Macaca mulatta: one gene and its partners. The protein of the gene in region 2 interacts with the protein of the main gene of each other region in a pairwise test. Links are inferred from orthologs where the notes say so. Each region holds a gene or a part of one and is shown on either strand. Other genes may lie near its edges.

Region 1 (10,347 bases), on a different chromosome or scaffold from region 2:
CAGATTATACTTAAAGGCATTCAACTGGAAACCAGAAAATGTTAACATTAAGCATTACAGTACTGTGATAACGTTTGTGTTACAATGAAAGTCTAATGAATCTTAAAACACATGGAGAAAGGTACTCAATTTTGTAGACTTGGAATACTATCTGGAAAAAACACAAAACAATAGCAGCACATTCTGGTTTCTAGAATTTATTGAAGCTAATATGTGTAGTATATTGTTAGAAACCATTCTATTAACCACATTATTTCTTAATTTGCAAGGAAAAAAACAGGCTTATTGTAAAGAACTCAGAAGACTGGCACAGAGTGTAAAGTCAGAAGTGATTCCTATTAATTAACCTTGTGGGATATTTCCTTCAAGTCGAACAGTTCAGAATCTTCAGTTGTCAATAATAACCCTAAATAAATTAATGCAAAGTTTCTAAGCAAATTCTAAATAAAATGCTCAGTTTCATTTGTATTTTACCTTATCTAATTCTAGGAAAACATTTAAACACATGGATGATATTGTTTCCTAATCATAATTTCCTCCCAAAAGATTTACCATATATTGTAAATCATTTATCACATAATGTATGTTTTTAAATATTCCATTAGACCCTCCATTAACGCAGAGGATGCCTATCATAAAAAAAATGCAGTCTTAACCACAACAATCCAATCTTGATTTATAATACTTAAGAATCATTACAGTTGAGTTTGAAAGTCAGCGGTTCTGTGTTCTATTTCACGCTGTTAAAGAACAATCTGGTTAAGATGAAGAGCCTAGGCTCTGAAGCCAGATTACTGGAGTTCAAATCCTGGCTCAGCCATTCAACTAGTTGTGTGATAACACTTTGTTCTAGTTACAAGAGTAACATCTAGTTTTAAGTTTCTCAAGTTTTAGGCAGGATCCATTCATTAACTTGCTCTGTGACTTAACTACATGGCTTAGGTTAGCCAGGAGATATACCTTAAAATCTGCTTGCTTTGTTCACATCTCAAGAGAGTTAATAAAAAAAATAATGCTAATGAAGTACTTCAAACTCTTAAGTGAAAGGACAAAATACCAAAGCAATAGGATTTCCATTTTTAATTATATACAAGTCTTAATGTTATCATATATATTTACTCATAACCAAATAACTAATGCAAATTTAATAATAACCAGGGCAATGCCTAACCACGTAATGAGTTGTGAGGCACACATATGACTATCAGGAATGCAAGAGTAATTGATATAATTATATCACCACAAGATGGAGTAAGAGGTCTCAAAAACACACACATACTCACTTTCCTGTCAAAAGTCTACAGATATGACATTCTGTTCTGCCATCTCATGGTGCTATAATTAGATATTATTCTGTTGGATCAGCCTCCTATGCAAGAATAAAATAAAAATAATAAGCAGTTTCATAAAAGCCAAGAAATTAGTTGAAGGAAAAGATTAAGCACACAAAGGAAAGTGGTGACACTACTTTCTAAAATGGCAAAAAGCATGACAGAATGCCAGAGTGGAGTTCCAAACTAACGTAAGTTTAAAAAATAAAATCTAGCCAGGCACAGTGGCTCACGCCTGTAATCCCAGCACTTTGGGAGGCCGAGGTGGGTGGATCACCTGGGGTCGGGAGTTTGAGACCACCCTGACCAACATGGAGAAACCCCATCTCTATTAAAAATACGAAATTAGCCAGGCATGGTGGCACATGCCTGTAATCCCAGCTACTCAGGAGGCTGAGGCAGGATAATCGCTTGAACCTGGGAGACAGAGTTTACAGTGAGCCAAGATCGTGCCATTGCACTCCAGCCTGGGCGACAAGAGCAAAACTTCGTCTCAAAAAAATAAAAACAAAAAATATATGTATTTTAAAACTAAAATAATACCACTTTAAAAACATAACTCTCTTCCTAATTCCTTTAGTGTAGAGAATGTCAAAGACAGTTTCAACTAGTCTCTTAAAAGGAGGACAAGGAGTTTGAATAACATTTTTAGCATTGCCTTTTTTATGACATTGAAAATTGTGCAAAATCATAAAAAAGGAAGCTCTAAGTTCTGTAGGGACTTTCATAAATTTTGGGTAGGACCATTTAGATTTATAGCCAATGATTGTCTTTTCATTAAATAGTAGTGCTTTTATTTGCTTGAGCTTTACATTCAGAATTTCTTTAAGGGGTATAGTTTTTAAAAATTTTACCCAAAAAAGTACATGCCATGTCAAACATACATAAGTAAAATTAGAAAGCAAAGGGTTAATATTCTTGGTAAGTAATAATGCTCCATAAATTTATCAGAAAGAGATAATCACTCCAAAAGGAAAACATAAGGGGTATTTTCAAGCAATCTACAAACAATATGGTTAATAAGCAATAAAAATTATCACTTATTAGTGACCTGATTAAAATGGTGACATTAATAATGAGATTTAGTGGCCAGGCGCAGTGGCTCATGCCTGTAATCCCAGCACTTTGGGAAGACAAGGTGAATCACCTGAGGTCAGGAGTTCGAGACCAGCCTAGCCAACATGGTGAAACCCCGTCTCTACTAAAAACACAAAATTAGCTGGGCATAGTGGTGCATTCCATGCAGCTACTCGGGAGGCTGAGGCAGGAGAATCGCTTGGATCTGGAAGGCAGAAGTTGCAGTGAGCCAAGATCGCGTCATTGCACTCCAGCCCGGGCAACAAGAGCAAAGCTCCGTCTCAAAAAAAAAAAAGAGAGAGAGAGATTTAAATGACTTTTTGCTTACCAGTCTAAAGAGAAAGATTTATCATAATTGGTGTTGATAAGGATGTAGGGAAGCAGATGTCATTGATGAAAGCGTAAACTGTGCAGCCTTCCTAGAGGGTCTTAAATGGAGACATGTTTTTACTTAGAATTCCAACTTCTAGGAGTTCTTGACAGTAACTCTTTTATACACAAAGATTTATCTGTAAGGATACTATTCATTGTTGTTTGTTTTTCTTTTACTTTTATTTTGTTTTTTTTTGAGATGGAGTCTCACTCTGTTGCCCAGGCTGGAGTGTAATAATGGTGTGGACTCGGTTCACTGCAACCTCTGCCTCTTGGGTTCCAGTGATTCTCCTGTCTCAGCCTCCCGAATAGCTGCTATTACAGACATGCGCCACCACGCCAGGCTAGTTTTTTGTATTTTTAGTAGAGATGGGGTTTCATCATGTTGGCCAGGCTGGTCTCACACTCCTGACCTCAAGTGATCCACCCACCTCAGTCTCCCAAAGTGCTGGGATTACAGGCGTGAGCCACCATGCCCGGCCTATTAATTGTTGTTTGTAACAGCCAAAACCTAGCCACAGTCAAAGTTCAACAGTCAGCAGTTAGCTAAGTAAACTCTGGTATATTCACATGCTGGAATACTATGTAACTAGTAAAAGCCATGAAATAGAAATATTAATGACATCACTGGCCAGGCACAGTGGCTCATGCCTGTAATTCAAGCACTTTAGGAGGCCGAGGAAGGTGGATCACCTGAGACCAGGAGTTCAAGATCAGCCTGGTCAACATGGTGAAACCCCGTCTCTACAATTAAAAAAAAAAAAGTAATGAGAAATATTAATGACATCAGAAAACGTTCAACTCCATTAAGTGAAAAAAGCAGGTTATAACATTATATATAGCCTGATACCAATTTTGGTTTTTCTTCTTTTTATAACAAGTACTTTATTTTCTTCTTTGTGCTTTTCTAAATTTCCCAACGTACATGTATTACTTTTATAATAAAAATATGATAAAACTACTAATTAAAACAAACCACAAAACTCTTGATTATTATATTTTCATTTATAATATACAATTTTCCAATCAAATTTACACTTGTATATTCAGTTGAGTAGAAATATCTGGTTAAATACAGGTTTCAGATGTGTGTGTTCAACACAAAAAGGACACTGAGAAAAATTTATAGATCATTTCAAGAGACCATTTAAAGCTAATAAGCATGGTTTGGAAATTTCTCACTGAAAAGCTGGAACTACATATCCCATTTAAGAAAAGACTTGAAGATCTATTATTCTAACCCATTGCTTGTTTTGCAGTCTCTTTACAATATATCTAAATAAATTTATTTTCTGAATATTCAAATTTGAGTATTTCAGCAATTTAAAGCATCAAAATGACCCTCCAAACAGTAAATATTATAAAATTGCCAATTATTACTTATGAGAAATAACTTACTGAAAACCTATTTACAAATTAACAGCCCATCCATCCAAAGATTATACGCATTTCAATATTATAATTTATAAGAACAAGACATCCAATCTGCTCAAAAAGAAAATACAAATTAATCTAGCATAATGAAACCACTTGCAGTACAACAAAATATCTGTAAATTAAGTAGTGCTCAATAAAAGTGGATGTAAGTTTATAATTGAAACTTCATTCACAAAAATTAATGGTCTTTTACCAGCAAAACTGAATATTACAGCTTTTCAACTATATTCTAAATAAAAATAATTCAAAATTCAAAAAATTCAGAATAAGTGCTTTATTTTTTTAATCTCACAAAAACTGAAACTATCATTTACATCAGTTGTAATAGCAACAAAAATTAGAAATCAATTTGCTATAACTCTTGAAAACATTTATAAAGACAAAACAAAATTAAACAAAAAATAAAAAGGTAAAACTAAGTATTCATTTTAAATTAAAGATAATCTGACTCCTTATGACCTACCCACTTGCAGATGTGTAAATAGCAGATGCATTCAAAATAGTGCAAGATTTAATTAGTTCAGGACAATATTCCAACCAACCCCAATGTAGGTTTTAAATTACTTGTGCACGTTTATATAGAATCATAAAAATAAACCTCTAATATGTAATCAGCTTATGCCAATTCAGAAAACTCCACACCAATACAACAACTGTGGAAATCATGAGATATGACTGGGGGGAGAAAAGCAAAACCTAGCATCAAAAGTGCATATACTCACTGTAACTATAATCTTGCTATATATTCCTACTTTTGTTTAAAAAAAAAGTTTTCTTTAAACTATATGTCTCAAAGAAATACTAAATGTATAATTTCATATTCTTTTTTGAATTTAAAAAGTATATACGTAATCCTCCTTTGTTTTTGGTAAGTTCAAATATGAATTGACAGTGGGGTAATTGGATTGTGGATTCTTTAAGAAAGCTCTATAGAATAGAATACAACATACTATATCTTCTTTAAGAAGTATGAGCTGAAATGTTAGGCATTCCTTGTATTGTTTTTTAAATATATTTAAGGAATGCTGTTTTTGTAAAACCATGGCTTTGAAAAAGAAATCTGAGATCAAAATACATTACTAGAGGATCTCTGTAAAAGGTCACCAAGACTATCCTTGTTTGTGAAATCAGGGAAAACATTTTTAGAATTTATCTTGTTAGAAAAAATGCTACCACTTTTCTTTCTTTTTCTTCTTTCTGATTATCACAATTAAACATCAGAAGATTTTCCCTAAATAAATACTGATGTAAACGTTGACTTCAAGGACAAAGAACTTCCGTAAGAGTCTATTTCTCAGGCATTTCACCATTTCTTGAGACCACAGGCCACAGGCAGCACTGTTTAATGTGAATTGTCACTGGACTCCGGTGAAGTATTCCTTCTGGGATCGTTTATTGGGACCTGAAGCTGACTGGTAGATGTAGGTTTAGCAGCATTTGGTGGCTTTGTAGAGGAATTAGGTGGAAGTCTATGACGATTACTCTCCTCACCAGAAGTAGATGAATGTCTTTTTCTTCCAAATTCCTCACTAATAGGGGGCTGCAAATGATAAAAGACAACACCGTTGACAATTTTACTGTTTTTCCTCCCTTCAGAACCTAAGGCTACACTTTTCCCCCAAAAAAAGTAAGTTAAATGGACACTTCAGTAGATTTTTTTTTTTTTGACGGAGTCTCGCTCTGTCGCCCAGGCTGGAGTGCAGTGGCGCGATCTCCGCTCACTGCAACCTCCGCCTCCCGGGTTCACACCGTGCACCCGCCTCACAGATTTTATTAGTATAACAAAAACTTAACAGCAACTTAAGATACTAAACTTAAATTTCCTTCCTAACTAAATCAGCCTACTAGTATTTGCTCATTCTTTTACTCAACATATGTTTGTGGTTTTGGTTTTTGTTTTGTTTTTTGAGACCTAGTCTCACTCTGTAGCCCGAGTGTTTTTTTGTTTGTTTTGTGTCTTTTTTTTTTTTTTTTTTTTTTGAGACGGAGTCTCACTCTGTAGCCTAAGCTGATGTGCAGTGGCGTGATCTCAGCTCACTGCAACCTTCGCCTTTGGGGCTCAAGCGATTCTCCTGCCTCAGCCTCCCAGGTAGCTGGGACTAGAGGCGCTCGCGGCCACACCCGGTTAATTTTTTTGTATTTTTAGTAGAGACGGGGTTTCACCATGTTGCCCTGGGTGATCTCAAACTCCTGAGCTCAGGTGATCCACCCGCCTCGGCCTCCCAAAGTGCTGGGATTACAGGCGTGAGCCACCATGCCCGGCCTCAACATGTGTTTATTAAGCTTCTCTCATGTTTTAGGCTTGAGCTATCTGATAGGGCACAAGTATAAGGCTGGGTTCCTTGCCTCCAAGAAAATGTTTCAGCGAGGCAATTTGCCTTCTTTATTCAATTTCGTCAGCTGTAAAACATTTGTATCTCCAGTCTCTTTCTCAATCCTAAACTCCTATTCCAGGCTTGCTTAAGTGAAAATGTTTAACAGATAAATGAAAGCAGTAGAGGAATAAAAAAGATGCCAAGTTAAATTATCGTTAGCAAGTTTGAAGGTTTATCTAGAATTCCTATGATAAGGAGACTGGAGAGTATTATTGATGGTACCAAATTTAAACATCTTCAAACGTTTAAGTACCCAGTGAAAAGGGATCCTGCATTCAAAAAAAGTCAGTTTTTTAGGCCTTTCCAGTTACCAAGATTTGGGAGCCCAGAACTGGACACCAATGAAATAGTATTTTTATGTGGAGATAAATTAAGATAGTAACCTCCTTATCCAATCCTCTGTTGTACTTAAAGGAGGAGGCCTGAATTCTTGGCTTATGTTCAGATGGGACAAGAGTCTCAAATATAGAGCAAGGATGTCTTTGTGATAGAACTGGTTAGACCACTCTAGAAAAATAGCTCTTAATTCAAGAGACAGGCACTTTTATTAACCCTATCCCTGGGTCATCAAGTCCATTTACACAAAACTGCAAGACAAATTACAACACAAAGCAGAGATGATGAACCTAGCCTTCCTTTGACTTCTTTTCTAAATTTAAAATTTTTCTTCTTCCTCTTTTTTTTTTTTTTAGACAGAGTCTCATTCTGTTGACTAGGTTGGAGTGCAGTGGCACAATCTCGGCTCACTGCAACCTCCGCCTCCCAGGTTCAAGCAATTCTTGTGCCTCAGCCTCCCGAGTAGCAGGGATTACACACGTGCACCATCACACCCAGTTAATTTTTGTATTTTTAGTAGAGACAGGGTTTTGCCATGTTGACCAGGCTGGTCTTGAACTACTGGCATCAGGTGATCCACCCGCCTCAGCCTCCCAAAGTGCTGGAATTACAGGTGTGAGTTACCATGCCCAGCCTTTCTCCTTAATTTTTTATTTATCTTCTTCCTCCTTTTCCTTTATCTTCTTAGATTCTTGACATTTTTTAATGCTTCTCTTTTCCTTTTGAAATCGAATTGATAAAGCCTATATAAGTTCAACCTTCAACCAAAGGTGATGAGAAGAACCCATGAGAGTGGACATCGTCATAAGACGGCAGCAAAAGGACCTTGTCTAGCTGACTCAACTAAAAGACACCACTCTTGTACTTGCACACATGCACACAACATTCTCTCCTTAATTTTATTATGCAGGTACCCTAAATCCATATCAGCACATGTTACAGAAAGTATACGGATAAAAGATCATTAAAAAGTGAAAAGTTTTCACATTGCTAGTGACAAATTAGCATATCAGATAAAAATTAATACTTCTAGAAAATGTTTAATTATAGAAGCATATGAAAATTAAATTGAATTAACAATTGCACTGTGGTTATGCAAGATGTTAACATTTGGGAAATCTGAGTGAACAGAGTATATGGGAATTCTCTGAACTATTTTTGTATCTATTTCAAAGTTTAATTTTGAAACTAAAAAGTTAAAAAATAAAAATTACAAAATTAAAGCTTAAAAAGTCACTGAGAAGAGATTGAAATATATGGAGAATAAAAAGAATAGAGGAAACGACTTAAAACTTACATCAACACGGAAGTCTTCTAACCTCTTAAAACTACAGAGGTATTCCTGAAGTTTGGGGTCAATAGACTGTGTCGTAGATTGTGAATATTTCAAATAAGCCCAAAACTTTTCTAGTCCATACAGCTGACCTAATAACGAAGAAGAATATACATTATAAATTATATAAAATTTTAAAAATGATTCACATTAAATATAATCCTATCAGCAATAAACAGTTTATCTTCCAATATATGCTTACTGTAGATCTTGAGAATAAGACATGTAATGAATTAAGCAATAATGGCAGCTAATATTTATTGAGCATTTGCTATGTAACAAGTATTAAGTGCTTTATTTTGCATCAAACTAATTTGACCCATATACAACCCAAAAGATGGATGTTCTCATATATGTTATAGATGAGAAAACTGAGGATAGCAAGGATAGGCAATTTACCCACCGTCACAAAGATTCTAAATAGTGGCAAGGGAATTTGGACCTAGCAATCTGGCCCAGAGCCTGCACTCTTAACCACTGTGCTATTTCTGCCTTTCCAAGCTTACCTGCCGATGTTGCATAGAATTTTCATGTAATGAAACATCAGTGAGTAGCCATGTTTGTCAAAGGGATAATGACAAAATATACCTCCAAAAAAGAAAGACTTGAGAGTAGTTACTTTCCAACACCTCCCAGGAAGGGCCTTCTTACTACCTGGTGCCCCATCCTTCATCAAGAAACATAATAATAGCATGAAGATCTTAAATGGTTTGCCTTGAAGAAAAAAACTATGAATTCCCTCCCTATTTACTGACAGACTCAGGTTTACAATTTCCAATTAGAGTATAAATTTTCTGATGTTATTGTTACCAGATTCGTAGTCTTTTTTGGTTTCTTCTTGGAAATCCTGAAAAATTTCTTGCCTGAATTTTTTTTCCAGTCCATAACTATAAAACCTGAACAGACATTCTAACCCATACCTATAAAGAGAAAATAAAAGGTTTATAATAAAATACAATCTCTCTATAGTAGTAACATCAATATAAGCAAACATGGCACAAGTAATCCTAAATGAAAAATAACATCTTAGCATTCAGATTTTTAAATTTTTTTGAGACTGAGTCTCACTCTTACTGTCCAGGTTGGAGTACAATGGTGCGACCTCAGCTTACTGCAACCTCTGCCTCCCTGGTTCAAGCTATTCTCCTGCCTCAGCCTCATGAGTAGCTGGGATTACAGGTGACCACCACCGTGCCCAGCTAATTTTTTGTATTTTTAGTAGAAAAGGGGTTTTACCATGTTGGCCAGGCTGGTCTGAAACTCCTGACCTCAGGTGATCCATCCGCCTCAGCCTCCCAAAGTGCTGGGATTACAGGTGTGAGTCACTGCGCCCAGCCAGTATGCAGATTTTTAACTGAACTGGTAATTAGTAATCCATAGCTGGCTTTGCTATTTTTGTTGACTCAGCCATAGCACATCATGAAGGTATACAGAGAACCTGCTGCATGAGAGGCAGCCCTTGGACAGTTCAGTATGACCTCTTTGGATGCACACAGTATCTCTCCCTGGTGTTTCTGAAGAACTGGCCAAAAGATTTAGTGATAAATTGGGGATGTGTCAGATTTTCCCCAAACCAAAATGTATAATGGTGTGTTTGTACACAGTATTAAATAAATACTCTTGAATGTAAGCTTTACTCTAGGAAGATAAAGACCATAGAGCTGTTCCCTAGATCCTAGGTGGCTGTCCCATTCAACTATAATGGTACAAACATAATTAAATGGTTAAGAGAGCCTCCCTGCTTTCATTATAAAGTACAATTAATAGTAGATACATTGCTAATAGAGCTAAAATCACTACAACCTTCAACCACAGGTGATGAGCAGAACCCATGGAAGTGAAACAATGCTGTAAGATGGCAACAAAAAGACCTTGTCTAGCTGACTCCACTAAAAGATACCACAATTAAAACACTCCTAAGTTAGAATCCTAAGTCTTTCTGGGTACCTCAGCAGAAAGGCTTCAACCTCTCCATTCTGCTAACATAATGTTAACAGGCTGTCAGTCACAGGAAGCAGGGTGTGTGATTGTGTGTCTCTTTTGTAACCAGCTTATTTACAAGACGAAGAGTGATGGTCTGGCAAGC
Region 2 (10,878 bases):
AGTGTATTCAATGAAATCTGCAAAAAAAAAAAAAAAAAAAAGGAAAAGAAAAGAAATATAAGACCACATTATTTTGATATGCCATAATCACTTAAGGTCTATACTCCAAATATCACACACCCTAGTGAATGATCCAGTGAATTTCATGTTTTATCGTAGTGGGTAACGAGATCCTCAAACTCATGGGCTCAAGCAATTCTCCTGTTTTGGCCTCCCAAAGTGCTGGGATTACAGGCACGAACTACGATGCTCAACCTAGAAACATGACTTTTAAAAGGAACACTTCCCTCACTCATATTACTCTTGGGGGATAGTTTAATATGGTGAAATTCTAATGTCTATTTTCACTTAGCACTATAATATCATTCATATTACTTTAGCTAAAAACTGGAAGACAACTTAACCTGTATTTGTTCTACAACTGAACCAGAAGAATAAAAATTAGTTTTATCCAAGGTTTAAAAATTGTGTCTGTTCTTAAGCTTAAGAATCATAATCTCAAAACAAACAAACACCTTAAAATTATTTTAGGTTACAAAACAGAGGTGTTAAAATTAAAGGAGATGGCTGAATCCAAGAATCAAACTTTGCAAAAGATTAATGTCATATTAATCACAACTATACTTATGACTAGAAAGAATGGAGTCTAGATGATCTCTCAAGGAATCTTGTTCTGGATTTTCCACACTCTTGCCCCTTGTCTCATTTGAGCACACAAGATTTAACTGGCTCTTTGCTATTTTCTCTAGTATTTTAGCAATCATGACACATAAAACAAGTTGACACACAGCCTTTCCTCAGAGTTTCAAATCTTTGTCATAAGAATCAAGTGGCTAGGCGATGAATATAGATTCCTGGCTTTCTGTGGTACTTTTGGAAGCAATAAGTAAGTGACTATTTTAAGTTTTTTGCGCTTCTTTCATAGTAGTGGAAAGAATTTTACTACAGGGGTTTGTATGTCTCAAAAAAGTTACTGAAGTATACAACTTCACACCATAATCAGCTAACATTTGTCTGCAGCACTTAAGAGAGCTGGGAGTGAAGGGATTTAGGCTTTGGCCCAGGATATGCCCCTTATCAGCCATGTGATCTTGGCAAATAATCCAACCTCAGATTCTTCACCTATAAACCGATAATCTGCCATCTTCCTATCCTGCTTACCTCATAGAGTTCCTGTGAGGATCCAATTAGTTAACATGTCTTGAAGCACTTGGAAAACTATTAAGCCCTAACAAATACGTATACAGAAACATTATCGTCCTAGTCCTCAGGCAAAAGGGAACTATTAGGTCACAAATTCCCCTATTCCATCTCACCCGCATAATCAATCACATAATTGTACCGAAAGAACAACTGTATTGCTACATGGCTCATCTTTATTACTTAAATTTACACACTCTATTCTCCAGAAGCCTATATAATGACGTGTAAAGATGAACCAGCAGAAGAAAAATGTGGCAAAGCATATAAAGAATTCGGCCATTTAAAATCTTTTCTGAAGATTTTCTTTGCCTGTCCTGAACCCCAAAATTCCTGATGGGTCCTCAGAAATTGTCAATTGCCTCTTGATTTCAGATGTTACAAGGAACTGTTTACACCAACACTTAACTAAGAAACAAGAATATTCTCCTCCCACAATTTTAGGTTTTATGAACTTGTAGTAACATATCACTTCTTACCAGGGATCATTCTAATCAAGCTCTGTAACACTGCTCACTGGTGCCTTTCTCTCAAGTAAGAAGCAATTTCCTACATCTTGACTGGGCTGTAAAAAGCGGTATATGGTTCCAAAATAACAGAGAATTCCTCCTTTACTGTCATAGTTCTTGATAGTCTGATTTCTATGCTGAGCATGTCAGGTTCCTGGCCGTCACTGACAAGCTGTATGAATCTAGATAAGTCACTTATGGTGATCTGGGACTCAAGTTCCACATTTATAAAAACGAAAACTAGTTTATCTCCAAAAACCTTTCTGGTGGAAATATTCTAAGATTCTTTTCAGATCACATGTATCAATACAGTCACAGTATTGTGACTAAGAGACCCCCCCCAAAGAACAATCCCATATTAGCTGCAGCTTCCAAATGTTCAACATTTCTCATTTCTCCCCCAGTACCCAAAGGGTAGTCACAGCTACTATAGAACTGTTAACAGTGCAGCTTAAAAAACAAAAAACAACTAGCTACGCGACAGAAAGATCGTAGGTTTTTTTAAGAGTCAGTGGGTTTTAAAAAGGGAAAGGAATTGAATCAGAAAAATAGGAAGACACATGTAAGAAAATATACCAGTCCAATTTCATACCAGGTTATCTCCTGCGGCAGGGAATAATCTTAGGACTCCAATCCTAACCCCTGTCACTGATAACCTTAGAATACCAGAAAAGTCAGATTAACCTTAGCAGATCACTCAATTTCAATTAACGACGTAGATCCTGACTAAGAGGCCAGTGGGAAGCAGAGGGCCAGAGTAGGGAGGTAGCAGTACAGAGAAGCATAGATGGAAGGTTTTGCTTCCAGCTAAGACGTCATTCTAATGATTAATTAAAATGTTTGAAAACAAAAAATCCAATAATGTATGATTTATTCAAAAACGATGTGCAAGGAATTTTGCTAGGCATCAAGGGGTGGAGGTGGGGGTGGGAGTGGGGGTAACGACACACAGATGCATTCAGAGAATTTAAGAGTCATTAGAGGCTGGGTGCAGTGGCTCACACCTGTAATCCCAGCAGTACTTTGGGAGGCTGAGGTGGGTGGATCACTTGAGGCCAGGAGTTCGAGACCAGCCTGGCCAACGTGGCAAAAACCTGTCACTACTAAAAATACAAACATTAGCCAGGCATGGTGGCACACACCTGTAGTCCCAGCTACTTGGCAGGCTGAGGTATGAGAATCGCTTGAACCCGGCAGGCAGAGGTACAGTGAGTGGAGATCGCACCACTGACAGAGCGAGACTCCGCTCAAAAAAAAAAAAAAAAAAAAGAAGTATTAGTTATTAGTAAGTCCCATTACCCCATGCAGTTTAAAAACATAATATTAAGAATATGTACCCACAGGTATGAGCTGAGAGGAGTTGAAAAAAAAAAAGTTACAGACCCAAACATTAATACTTAAGGAAATACGCTATCTCATGAATAACACAGGATAACCTAGGAATTCAGATGCTGACTGAATTTATCTGGTTTTAGTAATCAGTGAAGACTCATTAGGATAGTTTTCATCACGGTCTTGAAAAATAGGAATAAGCTCATTTTAGTGTACCTGTTTGCCCTTGGAATATGTTTATTAGTATAAGAGCATCACTGATAGGAAAAGCATGGTCTGAAATAGGGACATGGATCACCATCAGCAAGCAAAAAGAAAAACATCAAGTCACCAGTTAATAATGGTCTGAAGCGGGACATGGATGAAGCTGGAAACCATTATTCTGAGCAAACTATCACAAGGACAAAAAAACAAACATCGCATGTTCTCATTCATAGGTGGGAACTGAACAAGAGAACACTAGGACACAGGAAGGGAAACATCACACACCCCGGCCTGTCATGGGGTGGGGGGAGGGGAGAGGGGCAGCATTAGGAGATACACCTAATGTAAATGAGCAGCTAATGGGTGCAGCACACCAACATGGCACATGTATAAATATGTAACAAACTTGCACATGTTCCCTAGAACTTAAAGTAAAACTTAAAGTAGAACTTAAAACATGTTGTGCACATGTTCCCTAGAACTTAAAGTATTAAATAAAATGGTCTGAAGCAGCCCTTCTTTACTCATGTCATTTCTACTGTCTCAGATATTAGTGTTTATCCAACTGCAAAGTGTATTTTTGTTATAGTAACCACTAGTGTTTTATCCAATATACATCTGTTATGGAAGTGAGAGGAAGCAAACAAGCTTCTTTAAAATGAAAAAGGGAAAGCTTGAGGGGCATTCTACCAGACATGATTTCTACTGTGAAACACTACTGTCCAATGCAAATGATCCTTCCCTTCTTTCCAAGTTCTCTACTAATCTTCTGCCTTCCACCAACTCCATCATGCATCTGAGGCACATAAAAAGATACATGACCATAGGTTAGGATAATAACACACGATAATGACTTCCATAATTTCTTATAGGCAAACCGCTTCTGAAACGTGGTTTTAGGTTAGTAGCACTTATGTAAGAACACAAAGGTCTTGTATGTCTGGGAACTTCTGGTATAGGCTGAAGGTGAAGGCTGGAAAAAAACCAAAACCACTTCAAGTTCAATAAATTTAAATAAAATATGCTCCATAAAAGTTAAAATGTATACATCAAATATCATATGCTTTTTTCTGATAAGATTTCAAAGTTAACATCTATACTAATAAAGACTTAAGAGTGTAAAGAATTTACACATTTTATTGCACCCTAATTTTTAAAAAAATAAATTTCATTGTGCGTATCTGAGGTTTACAACATGATGCTATGGAATATAGATAGCAAAATGGTGAAGCAGATTAACATAGCTATCATTTCACATAATTACTTCTTTAACAACAGCTGCTAAAATCTACTTATTTAACAAAAATCTCGAATACAATTTTACTAACATTGGTACCCCTGTATCTCTAAACTTGTTCATCCTACATATCTGCTATTTTGTATCCTTGACCTACATCTCCCCATTTCCTCTCCTTTCCCCCACCAGCAGTAGTAACCACTGTTTCATTCTGTGTATTTTAGCTCCTTAAAAAAATATTCTACATGAGTGAGATTATGCAATATTTTCCTTAGTGTCTGGCTTATTTCATTTAACTTAATGTCCTTCCAAGTCCATCTACGTTGTGGTAAATAGTAGGATCTCCTTTTTTAAGGCTGAATAATGTTCCATTGTGCGTTGTCTATACACACACATAAACATATACACACATACAGAACAATTTCTTTAGCCATTCGTCACCCATCGATGGACATTTAGGTTGTTTCCCTATCTTGGCTACTGTGAATAATGCTGCAATGAACACGAGACTGCAGATATCTTCACAAAGTGGTGATTTCCTCTCCCTTGGGGGTATACCCAGGACAGGGGTTGCTGTGCACCCAGAATCTTCAAAACAATATGTAAATCCTACTTTTGCTGGTATACTGTGAACTCGTATTTACCTAAAAAAAATGACATTAACAGCACTCTTTCAAGAAAGTAATTTGAAGAGAAAATACAAAAGAAACCTCAACCGAAGTAAAGAAGGTATCTCTTTCCCATCAGTGTTACTGGTAACTTCTAAAGCCCTAAGCGGTATAATTTATCTTTTCATATACAGGATAATGATGGTTTCAGTTGTTACCACAAATTACCTCAAATATAATGGAGAAAAAAAATCATTAGCTATATAGGGTCTTCCAATATATCATACACACAACATGAAAATCAACCTAGCTTCACATAACTTGGTCAAACCTGGCAGAATCCAAGGGGGGCGGGGACGCGAGAGCCAAGTTACTACTGACTAGGCTAGGCTAAAGGCCAATACATAAGCCACAAATAAAAGGAATCGAGGGCAGGCGCGGGGGCTCACGCCTGTAATCCCAACACGTTGGAAGGCCGAGGCGGGTGGATCACCTGAGGTCAGGAGTTCGAGACCAGCCTGGTCAACATGGTGAAACCCCGTCTCTACTAAAAATACAAAAAATTAGCTGGGCGTGGTGACGGGCGCCTGTAATCCCAGCTACTCGGGAGGCTGAGGCAGAAGAATAGCTTAAACACGGGAGGTGGAGGTTGCAGTGGGCCGAGATCGCACCACTGCACTCCAGCCTGGGTGAAACTCCGTCTCAAAAAAAAGAAAAAAGAAAAAAAAGGAGTCGGTATGAGATGAAGTCAGGAACACTGCTCAACTCGAGATTATCACACAGCTCTCGTTCTTTCAATATTGGTACCTAAAGAAAATAATTTCACTTATCTCCCTCCGTGCATTTATTCCTTTACAACATGAATTATTTACAATCTGGCTGGCATATCTGACTCCACACCCCAAGCTAGTGACATAAAACATTTTCCCCAAGAGAAACCTACAGAAAGATACATAAGCCTAAGGCTCTTAAAAAAAAAAAAAAAAAAATGAGGCATGTGTCTTCACCTCGCCTTACACTTTTCTCAGTTACCTCTCCCGAGGGTGTGAAAATATCAACATCCGGTCGCCCACCCCCACACCCTCTCAGCAGTGCCTCGCATTGACTCTGCCCATCCCCTATCCTTCCCTTTACATTCTCATCACCTTGGAGAAGCCCATCGAATATTTCTTCGCATTGCTCCCCCACCCTTATTCATGGCTCAGCGCGATATTCTCCACATCTTTCTCCCAAGGAAGTGGCAAAAAAGAAAGCAGCATGGTCGAGGACGAAAGCCGGGGAGGTCTGACAACCAGACGGCAGTTTAAGGCGACGGGATTGGCTCTTTTCCCCCATCTCGGCCTCCGACCAGCAGTCGGTTCTCTAAACGTGAAATCGCTGGTCTTCTCGCTCCCCCCACCCCCATCCCCGTCAGAGGCCAGGCCGGTAAAATGCGAAGACCGCGGGGAAGCGCAAGGCAGGGTCATCCCTAACGAAGCCCGCTCCCTCCCGGGCTGGTGTCCCCGGCGGGGGGGGCTGGAGATTGCGGGGGGAGGAGCGAGCGGCCCCCGCCCAGAGACCCTCGACACCCAGGCCCTTTCCCCACCCGGCTTCCCTCCCCCGCGGCCCGGCCCGGAGAACTGCAGCGGCGCCCGGGCGGACCCCACGCCGGCCTCACTGGCACACACACCACACACAAAAGCGCCGCGGCCGCCGCCTTCCCGCCCCCACAGCCCGGCGAAGCAATCAATGAGGCGGCCGGCGCCCGCGTCCCCTCAGTGCACACCCGAACGCGAGGCCGAGCGGTCCAGCGGGGCTAGCAGCGCGGCTCACCATCGCTGCGCTTGATCTCCACGTAAATCCCGATCTGGATCTTGCCGAAGTTGGCCGTTGCCATCACCTCATCTGGAGCAGCGGCAGCGGGCCGAGGGAGGGGGACTGGAGAACGGAAAAGGCGGGGAGGGGGCGGGGTAGGTGTGGGAGGGGGAGCGGCTGCCCGCGGCCGCGCCGGCCCGGGCGACAGCGTGAACGCGAGCGGGGCCGCGAGGAGCAGTTGTGGGGAAGCAGGCGGAGGCCCCGGGCCTGCAGGCCGGCAGGAGGACGCGCACGCCGGGGAGTCGGGGTGAAGCTAGGGCCGGGGCCGTGAGGCGGCGCGGGGTAGAGTGGGAGGGCCCGCGCCGCCTGCCCGGGAGCCGACGCTGGGGAGGCGGGGCGCCGCGCGCCTGCGCAGAGCGCGCCTCGGCGTTTCTTCTTCCTCTTCGGCTTGCCTCTCCCGGCTGCCTCCAGGTGGCCCCGCCCAGCTCTGCAGCGGGGCGGGCGGCGGCCGCGGCTTACCCGGCCGCTGTAGCGGTGCGCTCTCGGCCCGGCCCCCAGCTAGCCGGCGTCGTGTTTGATTTAAGCGCGCGGCCTAGAAGACGCGGGAAGCGTCGCGCTGAGCTTTCTTGCCCTCTCGCTTCTGTGAATTGGCGCTGTTGCCGGAATGGGTTAAAGGCCACGTGGTTTCAGGGCTTTCCAGCGGGCTGAGGGATGTGAATTCAAGGGCCCTCCGTTGACAGTATGGGCTGGGTGTTTTCATAGGAAGGTGGCACCCCCTATTTCCGCTTACAGGTGGCTGACTCAAGCAGTCCTCCCAAGCACACTTGGTTCAGGTTTCCCATTCAGTTACGCTGGAAGGGAAGAAACACCTTTGAGGTGTCACCTACCCTAAATCGAAATGAAGATCCACCCCTTTGTAGTCTTGCCTTGTAGTTCATCACGCTCAAAAGGAAGCTCTGTGGTGGGACGTCCTTAACTGTTCAGGTTATGAGGCATCAGATGCTGGTGTCCTGTTTCTGCTGAGGATTCAAGACTTACTTGCTTTGCCCGGTAAAGCCAACAACTGTGACTCAATGGAATAAGGCAGACACATAAGGTTGACTAGGGAATGTGTCTTTCTGCAGTCATTTAATTAGTCTGACCACATCGGCAATGTGGAAAGCAAGACTCTCCATCCTGGCAGAGCAGGAAGGCCACGTGGACCGGGGCCCGGGAAACTGTATTTATAGCACCGTGTAAAAACCTCCAAACGTCTAACTCCTGCTTGTAGTACTGGCAATTGATATGTAGGAAACGACACTTTTCATGGCCTACTTTTCCCAGTCATTGTTTTTTGTTGTTGTTTTGTTTCGTTTTTGAGAGGGAGTCTTGCTCTGTGGCTCAGGCTGGAGTGCAGTGGCGCGATCGCCTTTCACTGTAATCTCCGCCTCCTGGGTTCAAGTGATTCTCATGCCTCAGCCTTCTGAGTAGCTGGGATTACAGGCCCGCGCCACCAGGCCCGGCTAATTTTTGTATTTTTAGTAGAAGATGGGGTTTCACCATATTGGCCAGGCTAGTCTCAAACTCCTGACCTCAGGTGATCCACCCGCCTCCGCCTCCCAGAGTGCTGGGATTACAGGCATGAGCCACCGCGCCCGGCCTTCCCTAGTCATTGTTAATCTCCCTGTAACAATAACTACAAATATACAATTTACAATTTAAAAATTGGAAACTGGATATATACATCAGTGCTTATCTGGATATATGTGTCCTCCTAGAGTTTTCAATCTAAGTCATCAAGTAGGTCCTTTAAAAACTGTTAAAAGACTGGCTTCATCTGTAGCTTGAACATATTGAAGGTATCCTTGTCAAAAGAACAATCCTATTGAATCCATTCTAAAGTGTGTATAATTTCTATTAAAACACACACACACACACACACACACACACACACACACTGGATAGACAATGTGGAAAATAACTTCTTTTACATTCCAGAAATGACATCACTCTTGAGAACCCCTGTTTCAAGTGAAATTTGACCAAATCAGGGTTTAGCTTTTATTTTTTCTATAATTTTGGGAGTTTTATCTGAACTCTTTGAGCTCCTGTCTAGAATTCATTTTCTGATGTCTCTGCAACTGAGGTATAAAACATCTATTTATATTTTATTTATACTTTATAAAGAATGCAAAGAAATCAAGCTATACAGCTCAAAGTTAACATTGCTTCATGAAATATTATTATTATTATTATTTGAGACAAAGTCTCGGTCTGTCGTCCCCAGGCTGAAGTGCAGTAGCATGATCTCGGCTCACTGCCACCTCCACCTCGTGGGTTCAAGTTATTCTCCTGCCTCAGCCTCCCAAGTAGTTGGGACTACAGGCGTGTGCCACTACGCCCAGCTAATTTTTTGTATTTTTAAAATAGAGACGGGTTTCACCGTGTTAGCCAGGATGGTCTCGATCTCCTGACCTCATGATCCACCCGCCTCGGCCTCCCAAAGCGCTGGGATTACGTGAGCCACCACACCCAGCCCGTAAAATATTTTTTGTATCATGGTTGCTGACACATACCTTACACTCTGTAGTTTATATGGTTAGTCTTAACCTTTAATCCATATAAAAGGTATTTTTAAAATACATACATTGTTTTGCTCCATAAAAATGTATGACATAACACTTAACAAACACAAAACTTTTCCTTTATAAGACATACCCGGGGCCGGGCGTGGTGGCTCAAGCCTGTAATCCCAGCACTTTGGGAGGCCGAGACGGGTGGATCACGAGGTCAGGAGATCGAGACCATCCTGGCTAACACGGTGAAACCCCGTCTCTACTAAGAAATACAAAAAACTAGCCGGGCGAGGTGGCAGGCACCTATAGTCCCAGCTACTCAGGAGGCTGAGGCAGGAGAATGGCGTGAAAGGCGACAGAGCGAGACTCCGTCTCAAAAAAAAGACATACCCAAAAGGCTTACGTTTTTTTGGTACACATCAGCGTATGTATTTACCAAGACTTTCATTATGGGCTTTGTATGCTAGTGGCTTCCTGAAGAGTAGCCATAAATACATACAATGTGGCTATGTTTCCTTCAACATCCTGGATCAAAGATTCTAACTGTGACTCAGACATTAACAAGATGTATAATCCTAACTAGAGCTACTACTAATAAGATCCTGAAGTGGTAACTACTAATTAATCACTAAGATATATATACCCTACTAAGAACTACTGTTTTTATTAGGATTATATAGTCTGCACTCAGACATTTGTTCAATGAGTTAACTTCTTAAACTGCTCAGTATCTCAGTTACTTCTTTGATCAACCTGGAATAATAACTTACATTCTCTCAATCACAGAAATTTTTTGTGATGACAAATAAAATGTGATAGTGCCTTGATATTTATAGGTTTTGTTTTTTTTTTTTTTTTTGAGATGGAATCTCACTCTATCACCCAGACTGGAGTGCAATGGCGTGATCTCAGCTCACTGCAACCTCTGCCTCCCGGGTTCAAGCAATTCTCCTGCCTCAGCCTCCTGAGTAGCTGGGATTACAGGCGCCCGCCACTACGTCCGGCTAATTTCTGTATTTTTAGTGGAGATGGGGTTTCACCATGTTGGGTAGGCTGGTCTCAAACTCCCGACCCCGGATGTTCTGCCCGCCTCAGCCCCCCAGAGCGCCGGGATTACAGGTGTGAGCGACCGCGCCTGGCCTATAATTTGTTTCATAAAAGTAAACCATCCTATAAAATATAACCCAGGCCGCGTGCTGTGGCTCATACCTGTAATCCCAGCACCTTGGGAGGCCTAGACAGGAAGATCCCTTGAGCTCAGGAGTTTCAGACCAGACACTTGTAGTCACATTCTGCTCAGTGAAAATACCAGGTGAAAGGCTATTGAAGTGATCACTTAGATAATGCAAAAGAGATAATATCATTTTTTTCTTAAAACCTATAGCTGGCTTCCCAGAATAAAATCTAAATTATTTACAAAAGTCTACGCGATCTAGCTC
Region 3 (10,106 bases), on a different chromosome or scaffold from region 2:
TTTATGTGCTTATATTCGTAATACTCATCTGCCATTGGTATCCTATCTTCCTTTTGTGGACTTCTGCAAAACAAAAATACATTTATTAGTTCACAATGAATCAAGTCATTATTAAATATTCTTTTATAATTCATACATGAGAAAGTATACTGTGACAGCTTCCACTTGGTTTTTGCATCATGTCTTCTTTTCCTTCCCTTTCACCTTCATTCACTCCTTCTTCCATGTGTTACTAAACTTCTAAATAACAGTAACCTTTGAAAACTTGAATGTCATAAGTGTTTTGCAAATATGTGGCTAGTGCTTAGACTTACAACAATGGAGTAAGTGAAAAGATCTAAGGAGAAACAAACAAACAAGAAATAGAACTTTCAAGGCATTCTTTGTCCTGTCATTCTTCCGTTATCTGCCACAGCCCTACACCTGTACAAAATGTTCAGCCTTAATAGAGTTGTCAAAAATTTTAACCTGAAAATACAGAAATTTCATTATAAAAATCATTTATAAACTTATGGTAACAAGAAAAGCATTCAGGGTCTGTCTTACAAACTTGAAACGTTTCCAGATTGTCTTGTAATTGTAATACCTATCTCTGCTAATATGTAGTAGAACCACTGAGCTGGTCCTTGATTGAAGTAATTTATGAGAGTCTAAATCGTGGTGGTTATCTTCTGTACACTAATTCTACTAAAGCTAGACATGTAACAATGCATAGATTTTTATACGTATGCGTACATATACTCTTGCTGTTTACTTGGAAGAATAACTTGGTAATATCAGGAGTTAAAACCATTTGCCTTCCCACAAAAATATGTTGTCAAGATACGTTTTCTAAAGGGAATAATTGTGACAGGGTCTCAGAAGACTCTTGTTTTCTTGGTTAATAAGATAGCCAATTGCTTTGAAAACATTTCCACCCAGGACTTTGAAATTCAAGGGGTAGAGGACACAGATATAGTCACCACAATTACAACTGAATATAACCACAAATATTCTCTAACATTAGTATGGCTGAAACCAGGTAAATAGCATATATTTAATGTTTTATCTTTAGCTCCCTTCTATTTTTCCCAGTAATGATAAAGAGATATTTCTATCTCTTACCAAATAAAAAACAAGCTAATCTATACAGATTAAGAATATAGTATCTACTTGTATTTCAACACTATTTATTGCCCTGCAATTTCTAGTACAGAACTCAAAACAGTATACAAATCCATAGACAGCATTCTTCTTGACTATTGTCTAAAGTATATAACATAAATCCTTTGTCTTCATTCTGTGTTATGAGTCAAACTTATCATAACTGGATGTCTGAATATCACCTTAATTTGTATAAATAGATCTAAGTAAAGAAATTATCTAATTATTACAGAGAAACATTAATAATCCATTATGTAATTTTGCCTAGTTTTGCATATTCCATTTTGGCTAATAAGAGTGCTTTGACAAGGATGGAAAGTTTTGCCAAGTCTTTCCTGAAGCAGTTTCCCCATTATATAAAACATACTAAAGTGCTTAGCACAGTTCCAAGCTCATAATCATTAATAATAATGTAATATCTATATGATTCTCATGCCTCTTGTATGGCAAATATTGCCAAGAATATTTATAGTGCCTTAAACATTTTAGTAATCCATTTGCATGGTTATTTTACCTTACTGATACTTAGGCCTTCCCAATAAAATGTCTTAGATAAACAAAATTAAGGTCCATATTTCCTAGCCACTCAACTGTTTGATTTTAGTTGTAAAAGATCATCACTTGTGCATTTGGTTGAAATATATCACCACAAGGGGGCATACAACTTCATAGCCATATATAGGCTTATCTGAAGTGGGTTTAAGACTCATAGGTGCAGTAGAACACCATACCTAACACCATAACTAACTTCCCTGTATGACAAAAGCATACCAAGTGGCACTGCAGATCCACTAGGCAGAACTAGTAGCACACTGGGAAGTTATCAAACCCCTTAAGATAGATTCCTGGGTTCAAATTGCTAAAAATATAAATTTATTCAGGGAACTCAAATTTATGAAATGAATGTATGCACATCTTAAAGTGTCATTTCTCATATGTAATGACTGTTTAGATTTAGAATATTTGATAACATCTCCACAAATATTTCCCTGAATGAAAAATTCCCATAGAATACCTTTAATCCAAAAGAGGCAGAGATCAGGAACTTTATAGTGTAAGTCACATATTTATCCAAGGTATAATAATAGCAGACAGTCCAGACAAAGTTACTACTCCAAGGAATGTTTTACAAGGAATGTTACATGAACATTTTATAAAAGAAAAAAGGATGGAAAAGGAAAAATAACAACAAATGCTTTATGTTCTAAATTTATGAGCCACATAACATTTCTCACTAGATTAGTTAACATCACCATAAAGGTAAGTTGGACTTTTGCAATCAACTTGAAAGGAAGATTCCAACTAGAAAATAAGTTGATACATCTCTGTTGGCTGAATGCAAAAAGCTTTTCACTCAGTAGGTCCAGTCCCAAAGAATATCCTGGTAGGCTAAAATGGAAAACCTGCCAGGGACTAAGGTGAATAGACCACACAATTCATGTATTTATGTCGAGATTTATTGTGCAAAGTTAGAGATTTTTAGAGTTTAACTTTTATTTTTTACAGATTGATGTCATACCTGACAGCTACCATGTCCCATAAAACATCCCTAATATTGGCAATATTAGAATGTTGCATTGGACAAATCCTGAGTCTAAGCCAGTGTGAAAATGATACACATTTTGTAAAAAGTCACCGTTCCTGCAAAAAATTGCAGGTCATTTTTAACAGTAATTCTCTAGGAAGTATTAGCTTTAAAAATCTCTCTGCCCACACGTACCTTCCTGTTTGTTTAAAAAACTGTTCTTCAAATTCTCTTAAGGCTTTCCGCAGTCTCTTCTTGTCAGCCCTAGTTTCTCGGAGATGGTCAAGAAGTACAGGCCTATATAAGGTAGAATATTTGTCATTACTGGGCACTGGCATAATTGAGAGATCATCGTGAGCAGATTTATCTGTTCAGCCAAAAAAGCATACTACGATTGAAAAGTGTTCTGAGCATAAGAGTGTCTTTTGGGTAAATATGACACACATAGAGCCTGACCATAGGCAAGCACATAAGCAGGGAAAATTACCTGATGGAAAAAATATCACAAGATATGGGAAAGGACAGACAAGAGGCAAGCAGATTGATTGAATCCACTGAAAGAACTGGAAAGGGTAACAGCAATATAGATGGATGAGGGAAGGGATATTTTGAAGGAATACTCATCAGCATTTGGTGATAGACTGAAGAGATACAGAGGAACAGCTTTTAAAGACAATTCTATTCTTAATCTAGAGAAATAAGTGTAGGAATATTAGGAGAATGGCATAACCCCTGTGAATGAAAATAAGACCTAGAAGAAAGCTATAGTTACATTGTGAATTCTACTCACTTCATTCTACCAAGATGAGAGAAAAGTCATACACGCTAGAGCAGGAATGTGGTATACACAAGCAGACCAAACTCATGTATGGTTTCAGAGATTCTGTGAACTTGAAATTATATATGGGCTTTCTCTTAAAACAATTCTGTTGGTTTCAAAAAAGTCCAACACCCCTTGAAAAGTTAGGAATAACTCCTTTAGAATCACCACCAAAAAAAGGGTTTTCTGCTTGCTTTCTCTGATAGACACTTCTGTCAAATTAAATTAAACTAAACTAAATCTCATAATCTGGGCTGTAAGATACAAACCAAAGAAGGCCAGATTATCATGAGGAATGCCAGCTACTGAATAATGATAATAATAATGATGATATTAATGAAAATCCAAATGGCTTCTATCTGAAGGGCCATTTAAGAGACAAAGGGCAAGTCATTTGCTTACTACCAAGTGGATTTCTAGTGGAAAAACTATCTCATCTAAATGTAAGAGTCTAGGATAAAGGCCCTGAGAACTGTTGACCCACCCCTTTGAATCCAGCATTTTCAAAGGCCAGCTCTGCTTCATATGCTGGTATCAGATCAGAAGGAGTTAAGAGGAGACTCTACACTTAGGATTCATACTCACATGGTAGCCTCATGTAAATTAGACATGGAGAGAGCTGGTGGTTTTACTTCTTTCTTTTCATCTGGTAGAAGGGCCCTAACAGGCTCAGTCTCATTAGAGTAGGTGAGGTGGTCACCAACAGGAAGGTGAGATGCTGGATCTGGCAAAGAAGGTTGTTGGCTTCCCTGTGGATGGTCTTCATCAGAGTCCTCTTCCTCCTGCTTATCACAGGCAGAGTTAAAGAAAGTAAGTCACGTAATGCTCAGTGCCTCTTGAGGAAACAAACAAACAAAAAATACGAGAAGGGGAACCATAAATCAATGTCATGAAAACCAGTAGGTGACCCAAATGCCTACTGAGAACTGGGATGGAAGCAACCAAGAAGAGTTCTTCCTCAGTTTCATTAAAAACCTGCAGAAGTTAATGAGCAAAAAGGCAGCAGCCATGCTGGGCTAAAACTTAACTCACCAAGTTCATCTGTGTCTTCTGGGCCAATGAAGGCACAGAGCATTAGGATATGGTCCAGTCTGGACTATACTATCAAGTGGTTCCTCCCTTTCACTCAGGCCTTCTGGGCTCCAGCTTAATACTTGTGACATGAGTTAAGATGAGGTGGACTACAGACAACTTTTATCCTCCAGAAATACCCCAAGTCAGGTCCCAGTGAGGACCAACATTCAGATACAGAGGATACCCAGAAAATTGACAAGTTCAGGGGAGAGCTATTGGAAAGCCAAAGCAAAGTGGGGTTACTCCTCAACCTGTTCTGATAATTCTTATCACAACTAGAAGATTCTCTTGCAAGAAATATAAGAACTCTACTACATTTTAAATTATGCTTCCATAATGGGAAAATTCCAAAGACTGAATAATTATTCTCTTAATGTCTTTAAAAATATGGAAGTATAATCCATCTCAAAAAATGTGGAAGTATAATGTACTCAAGCATACTTAAATTTATATTTGTTAATATTTATTCTTTTTTATATTGATATCTTGAACAAGTAACTGTTTTGATATTGATGGAGTAGGATTTGTGATGCTTTTCTAGTTCTGTATTCCCATAAATCATTCTTTACTAAAAGTAGTCTAACTCAATTTCAGTACTTATATTTTCTATTGAAATAAATCTTTTCATATCTTGTATAGTACGGCCAAATGGTACCAAAAACAAATGTTGCATTATATCAAGAATATATTGTTAATTTTCTGATTAAAGGAAAAAATTAACCAACACACAGAACAGAAAGGCTCTGTTTTGTCTAGCTGTGTTACAAATTAGAAAATGCCAAACTGAAATCTATGAATTTCTTTTCACCCAAGCTAATGAAAGCAAATGTTAAAATTGGCTCTAGACATACAAGTACTATATGTTCCTATTTTACAATAGTTCTAATATCAGCCACTGTTAAGTATAGTAATGGGGTTAGAGAAGACCAAATTTTCACTTTTTGAAATGACACCTGGCCTTGTTAGCAGTATATACTGCCATGAAGGGTCTTTTATAACTCTAGTACTACTATGTGACATCATGTTAACTACACATCAGTACAAAGTAACAGCATGCAAGTATCCTGACTTACAATTGTTGGAATAAGGGAAGGCGTTGACAAGATTTGCTTGATAATTCTGTATCGGTCATAAAGCGGCTTTATGAGGTTCTTGTCTTGCTTAGTTACCTGAGAAACATGAAATTATTATTCTTCTCTCAGACAAGAATGAAAACATCAATATTTTTTAGCAGACAAAAAGCCTCAAAGTAAAGGATTATAATACTATAATGCAACAGTTATCATGAAAAGGAAAGTCATTTATTTATTTATTTATTTATTTATTTATTTATTTAGAGACAGAGTCTCACTCTATCACCCAGGCAGAGTGCAATGGCATGATCCCGGCTCACTGTGACCTCCAAGCAATTCTCTTGCCTCAGCCACCCAAGTAACTGGGACTACAGGCACGCACCACCATGCCTGGCTAATTATTTTGTATTTTTAGTAGATACAGGGTTTCACCATGTTGGCCAGGTTGGTCTCAAACTCCTGACCTCAAGTGATCGGCCTGCCTCGGCCTCCAATTATAGGTGTGAGCCACTGTGCCTAGCCATAAAGTCATTTACAAGATACTGTATGTAGCACATGCCAGTTTTTTCTTGGAAAAGTTTCTTAAAGCATATGTCCAAGTTTAGGAATGTGATTTTTGGAGGAGTCTGAAATGCATAAGTGTTAGGGAACCTCTTCCTTAATGACTTTTTCATTCTTAAAAAACCAGTCCAGACATTGATTTTTCTTCTGAAACATATATTTTATCTAGACTTTCCCGATTATATGTAGTCACAAACACCAACGTTGTACAGGTCTTCATCACTACATGCTTGTATTATATACTAGGTTATGACTAGTTGTGATATAAATGAAATTATTTTGGACAAAACATTTAACTTCTCTGAGTCCTCAAGTTCCTACCTATACAAGAAGGAGGTTGGAGTTACCAATATCCTTCCATTAAAAAGATGTATAACCTCTTGATCCACTAATAAATTCTATACCCCTCTGCTGTAAGACCCATCCCTAATCACTATTTTCAGTGGATCACATTGTGCATAAAAATTTAAATAGCTTCCTATCTATCTATCTATCTGTCTATGTATCTGCCTATTTATCCAAAGTGACCAAACTCCTTTGCTTGTATTGGTTTTTTTCCTGCTTTTTATTCTGCATTAATTTTCTGCATGTCTAGTAAACATAGCTTCCTACTCTAGTCCAGTGATATACACTTGGCAAGTAGTTGGAAGGGAATAGTAGAAATAACTCATGGAATAATCACCCAGGCATCTTTTATCAAAGTACACACACCCACACATGCCAGATAGATCTGCCATCCAGATCGGTCTCCCTTGAAAGAAAAGAAAATGTCTCAAACATGTGTTACACTTCCCAGTTATCCTCATGCTCACAACTCCCATCCCAATTGCAAACCATTCTGGCCCGTATTGATCTACCTTTTCTCTCAACTTCTTATCTCATTATCTGAGTCTTAACTGTTTTCTTTGTTTCAGTATTGTCTGCCCAAATAAATGATTCTTGAGGAGAGAGATCGTATCACATACTTCTTTAAATTCTCACAGTACCCAACACCTTCCCATTCCTACTACTAAGCTATCAACACAGGTTTATATGAAAAAAGGACTCTAATTTTTAGCAATCTTCTTTTAAGTCCCATACGCTGTGACCTAACTCTCGCTTCCCTCTATAGAAGCCTGTTAAGTATTGCTTAAATAACCTCAAGATCTTTTCATTTTCTAACCCAATCATTTTTTAAACACTTTTATTCATAATACATCTTTCCATGAAAAAAAAAACCCAACAGGTTCCCATCAAAATCTATTTCATGGGATTTTAATAGATGACAGAAGAAAAAAATCTCAGTCTGAGTTCAGAAAACATGGAAATAGTGGTTTTTTAATGTAATATCTTACTGGGACTTACAATCCATAGAAAGTATTTCAGAAAATGATGCATTTAAGTAGTATTGGAATCTCTCCATTGCAATTTGATTTTTGTGATTTAATATATTCCCCAGATTCTAGAAAAGCTAAATTTAATTCTAAAAGAAAAAAGTAACCAAAACACATGATAGAATGATGAATGCCATTATAGAAAAGTATCTTCCATAGATGCTGGATAAAAATTTGGGAACACATACAATGTATGCACTGCTTTTTCACTTTGATTCCATTGTCTTCCTCTTAAGATTATTATCAAAGCAATCCCTGAGGAAATGTGAGGGTTCCATACCCTCATGCATAGTAAGTACAAAACACTGTGAAACCTCTAAGTCTACAAGTGCTTATCCTCAGATAGAGGACAGGAAAGCAGATTGCCTGAGGAAGGTTAGTAGTGGGATTATGTGCCAGGAGCTGTTTTCTACTCACAGAAAAGCTATAGGCCTGCAAAGTGATCTTCATAAAGGAAACTGAATCAAGGTAAGCTCTGCAGGATACCCCAAATCTAAGGGGGCAGAAATACATTAGACTTTGCTGTTATTCTTCAGCCACTTTCTGCTAAGAATCAGATCTAATTTTCTCCTCTGAATTCAATGGCTGTCTCTTTCTGAAGTGCATCCTTCCTCCCTAATTCTATAGTTGCTGCTGGCTGTGGTATGCAAGATATATCTATTTTTTTCATTTTTGTTATGTGAATGAAGGAAACAAGGTTTCCTTTATGTTTTCGGTTACATGTTGAATAACCTAAAACAGCCAAAGAGAGCTATGAATGTATTGTCATAATTTAAAGATAAATAAAAGGAGATAAACTTTAAAAGATGATTATTCTTCCAGTTTCTCCATTTTTTATAGTATCAGGGGTAAAACTAAGAGGAGGTTGAACAAGACAGGACCATATATAGGACAAAATTTGATATGATTTGTTTATAGCTTGGCAACTTTGCCATATGAAAACTCCTGGCCCCCTATCAGTGATTATTTGAATCATCAAGGTCTGGAAATAAACTGGCTTTCCAAGAGACATAACTGCTACTGAGGGTCAGTCCAAATTAGTTTGTTTCTGGGTCCTGGTCAGAAAGTTGTTTAGGAAAAAGCTGCCATAGCTTCAGCACTTCTACCACCTTGTTTTCCTTTCCCCCATGGGACTGGTGCCATGTATTCCTGCACAGTAAGCCACAGAAATTTATAAATTAAGTCATTACAATTATCCCCATAAATGAGATCTCTCTTAAGGAGAGAAATAAAACTGACATTCTCTTCTCTGGACAGTGAGCAATAGAAATCATGCTTCTTAGCTTTAGGGACTCAAGTCCTGCCAAGATTTTCCTGTCTAAGTATCCCCATCGCCTTATTGAGGGAGGCACTATATGTAAGCAAGTCTGACTGTTTAAATTAAACAGTCAAACAAGATGGAAAGTCAGTACTGGATATTATCATAGAAAGCAATTGCTAAAGATAATGTTTTGGTCAATTTAGATGTCCAAGCCGGGAATTGAAGGTTAATATTTGTCTTGAAACCAGAGGACATGAGTTCAGATAACCAGCTTCAAAACTTATAAACTGTTTTTAACATTACAAAGATGTAATATTTGAACCTCAGTTTCCTCATATGCATAATGATGATCACTTTTAATAAGTTTTATATGTAAATGTTTCTGGATTAATAACACATATACCAAATGTTATTTGAGCTATCAAACTAGTTGACTTGATATTAATGTCAATGCTATCCATTAATAAAAAAGAATATCACAGTGCTATTGAATATTTTTTTAAAAAATAAAAGAGAATGATAAGCTATGTCTTGATATAAAAAGCTATCCAGAATATACAAAGTAAAAAGGATGCATAATTGTATGGACTGCTCCCTTTTGTCTAACAGAGGCAAGTTAAGATATATATTGGGGCCAGGCATGGTAGCTCACTTCTGTAATCCCAGCACTTTGGGAGGCTGAGGTGGGAGCATGCCTTAAGGCCAAGAATTTTAGACCAGCCTGGGCAAAAGTGAGAGCTCATCTCTACAAAAAATTAAAATAATCAACCAGGCATGGTGTTGCACACCTGTAGTCCCAGCTACATGAGAGGCCAAGGTGGGAAGATCACTTGAGCTCTGGAGTTATGGCTGCAGTGAGCTATGGTTGTGCCACTGTACTCCAGCCTGAATGATAAAGTGACACTCTGTCTCTATTAAAAAAAAAAAAAAAAAAAAAAGGAATGTATATTGATAATTTCTTGTATATGTTTTACATAGAAACTCCAAAAAAGACACATAAGACATTAATAACAATAGTTACCTGCTGGGGGTGGGAGATCTCGGAGCTGGAGATGGCAGTTGGTTTTGGAAGTAGTCTTTTTACCATTTTCTGTTATATATTTTCTTTTTGAACTATGTGAGAAAGTATTACCTATTCAATAAATTATTTTTTTAAAAAAGAAGGATAAATAGGAAAGCAGAAAGTTTGATGGGATCTTCCTTTTCATGCCCTTTAAGTCTACTCTCTTTCCAACTAACAACAACCTGCTAATAAGTTATTAATTTTGTATTGATT

The links.
Region 1: the proteins of KIF2A (region 2) and LARP1B interact in binary tests that used the Homo sapiens proteins (3 or more experiments, as listed by UniProt). The two-hybrid records come from large-scale screens. The link is inferred for Macaca mulatta from reciprocal best matches to the Homo sapiens genes KIF2A and LARP1B.
Region 3: the proteins of KIF2A (region 2) and FAM13C interact in binary tests that used the Homo sapiens proteins (3 or more experiments, as listed by UniProt). The two-hybrid records come from large-scale screens. The link is inferred for Macaca mulatta from reciprocal best matches to the Homo sapiens genes KIF2A and FAM13C.

The regions. Positions count from the first base shown.
Region 1 is NC_133410.1:136,975,349-136,985,695, reverse strand, and holds the end of LARP1B (la-related protein 1B), read right to left. Parts: intron 9,182-10,347; coding exon 9,072-9,181; intron 8,354-9,071; coding exon 8,226-8,353; intron 5,758-8,225; coding exon 5,560-5,757; 3' UTR 4,477-5,559; downstream 1-4,476.
Region 2 is NC_133411.1:70,201,423-70,212,300, reverse strand, and holds the start of KIF2A (kinesin-like protein KIF2A), read right to left. Parts: upstream 7,028-10,878; 5' UTR 6,967-7,027; coding exon 6,903-6,966; exon of another isoform or gene 6,856-6,902; intron 1,323-6,855; exon of another isoform or gene 1,317-1,322; intron 1-1,316. UniProt on the Homo sapiens protein: Plus end-directed microtubule-dependent motor required for normal brain development. May regulate microtubule dynamics during axonal growth. Required for normal progression through mitosis. Required for normal congress of chromosomes at the metaphase plate.
Region 3 is NC_133414.1:90,567,791-90,577,896, reverse strand, and holds part of FAM13C (protein FAM13C), read right to left. Parts: intron 5,732-10,106; coding exon 5,636-5,731; intron 4,274-5,635; coding exon 4,074-4,273; intron 2,966-4,073; coding exon 2,864-2,965; intron 64-2,863; coding exon 1-63.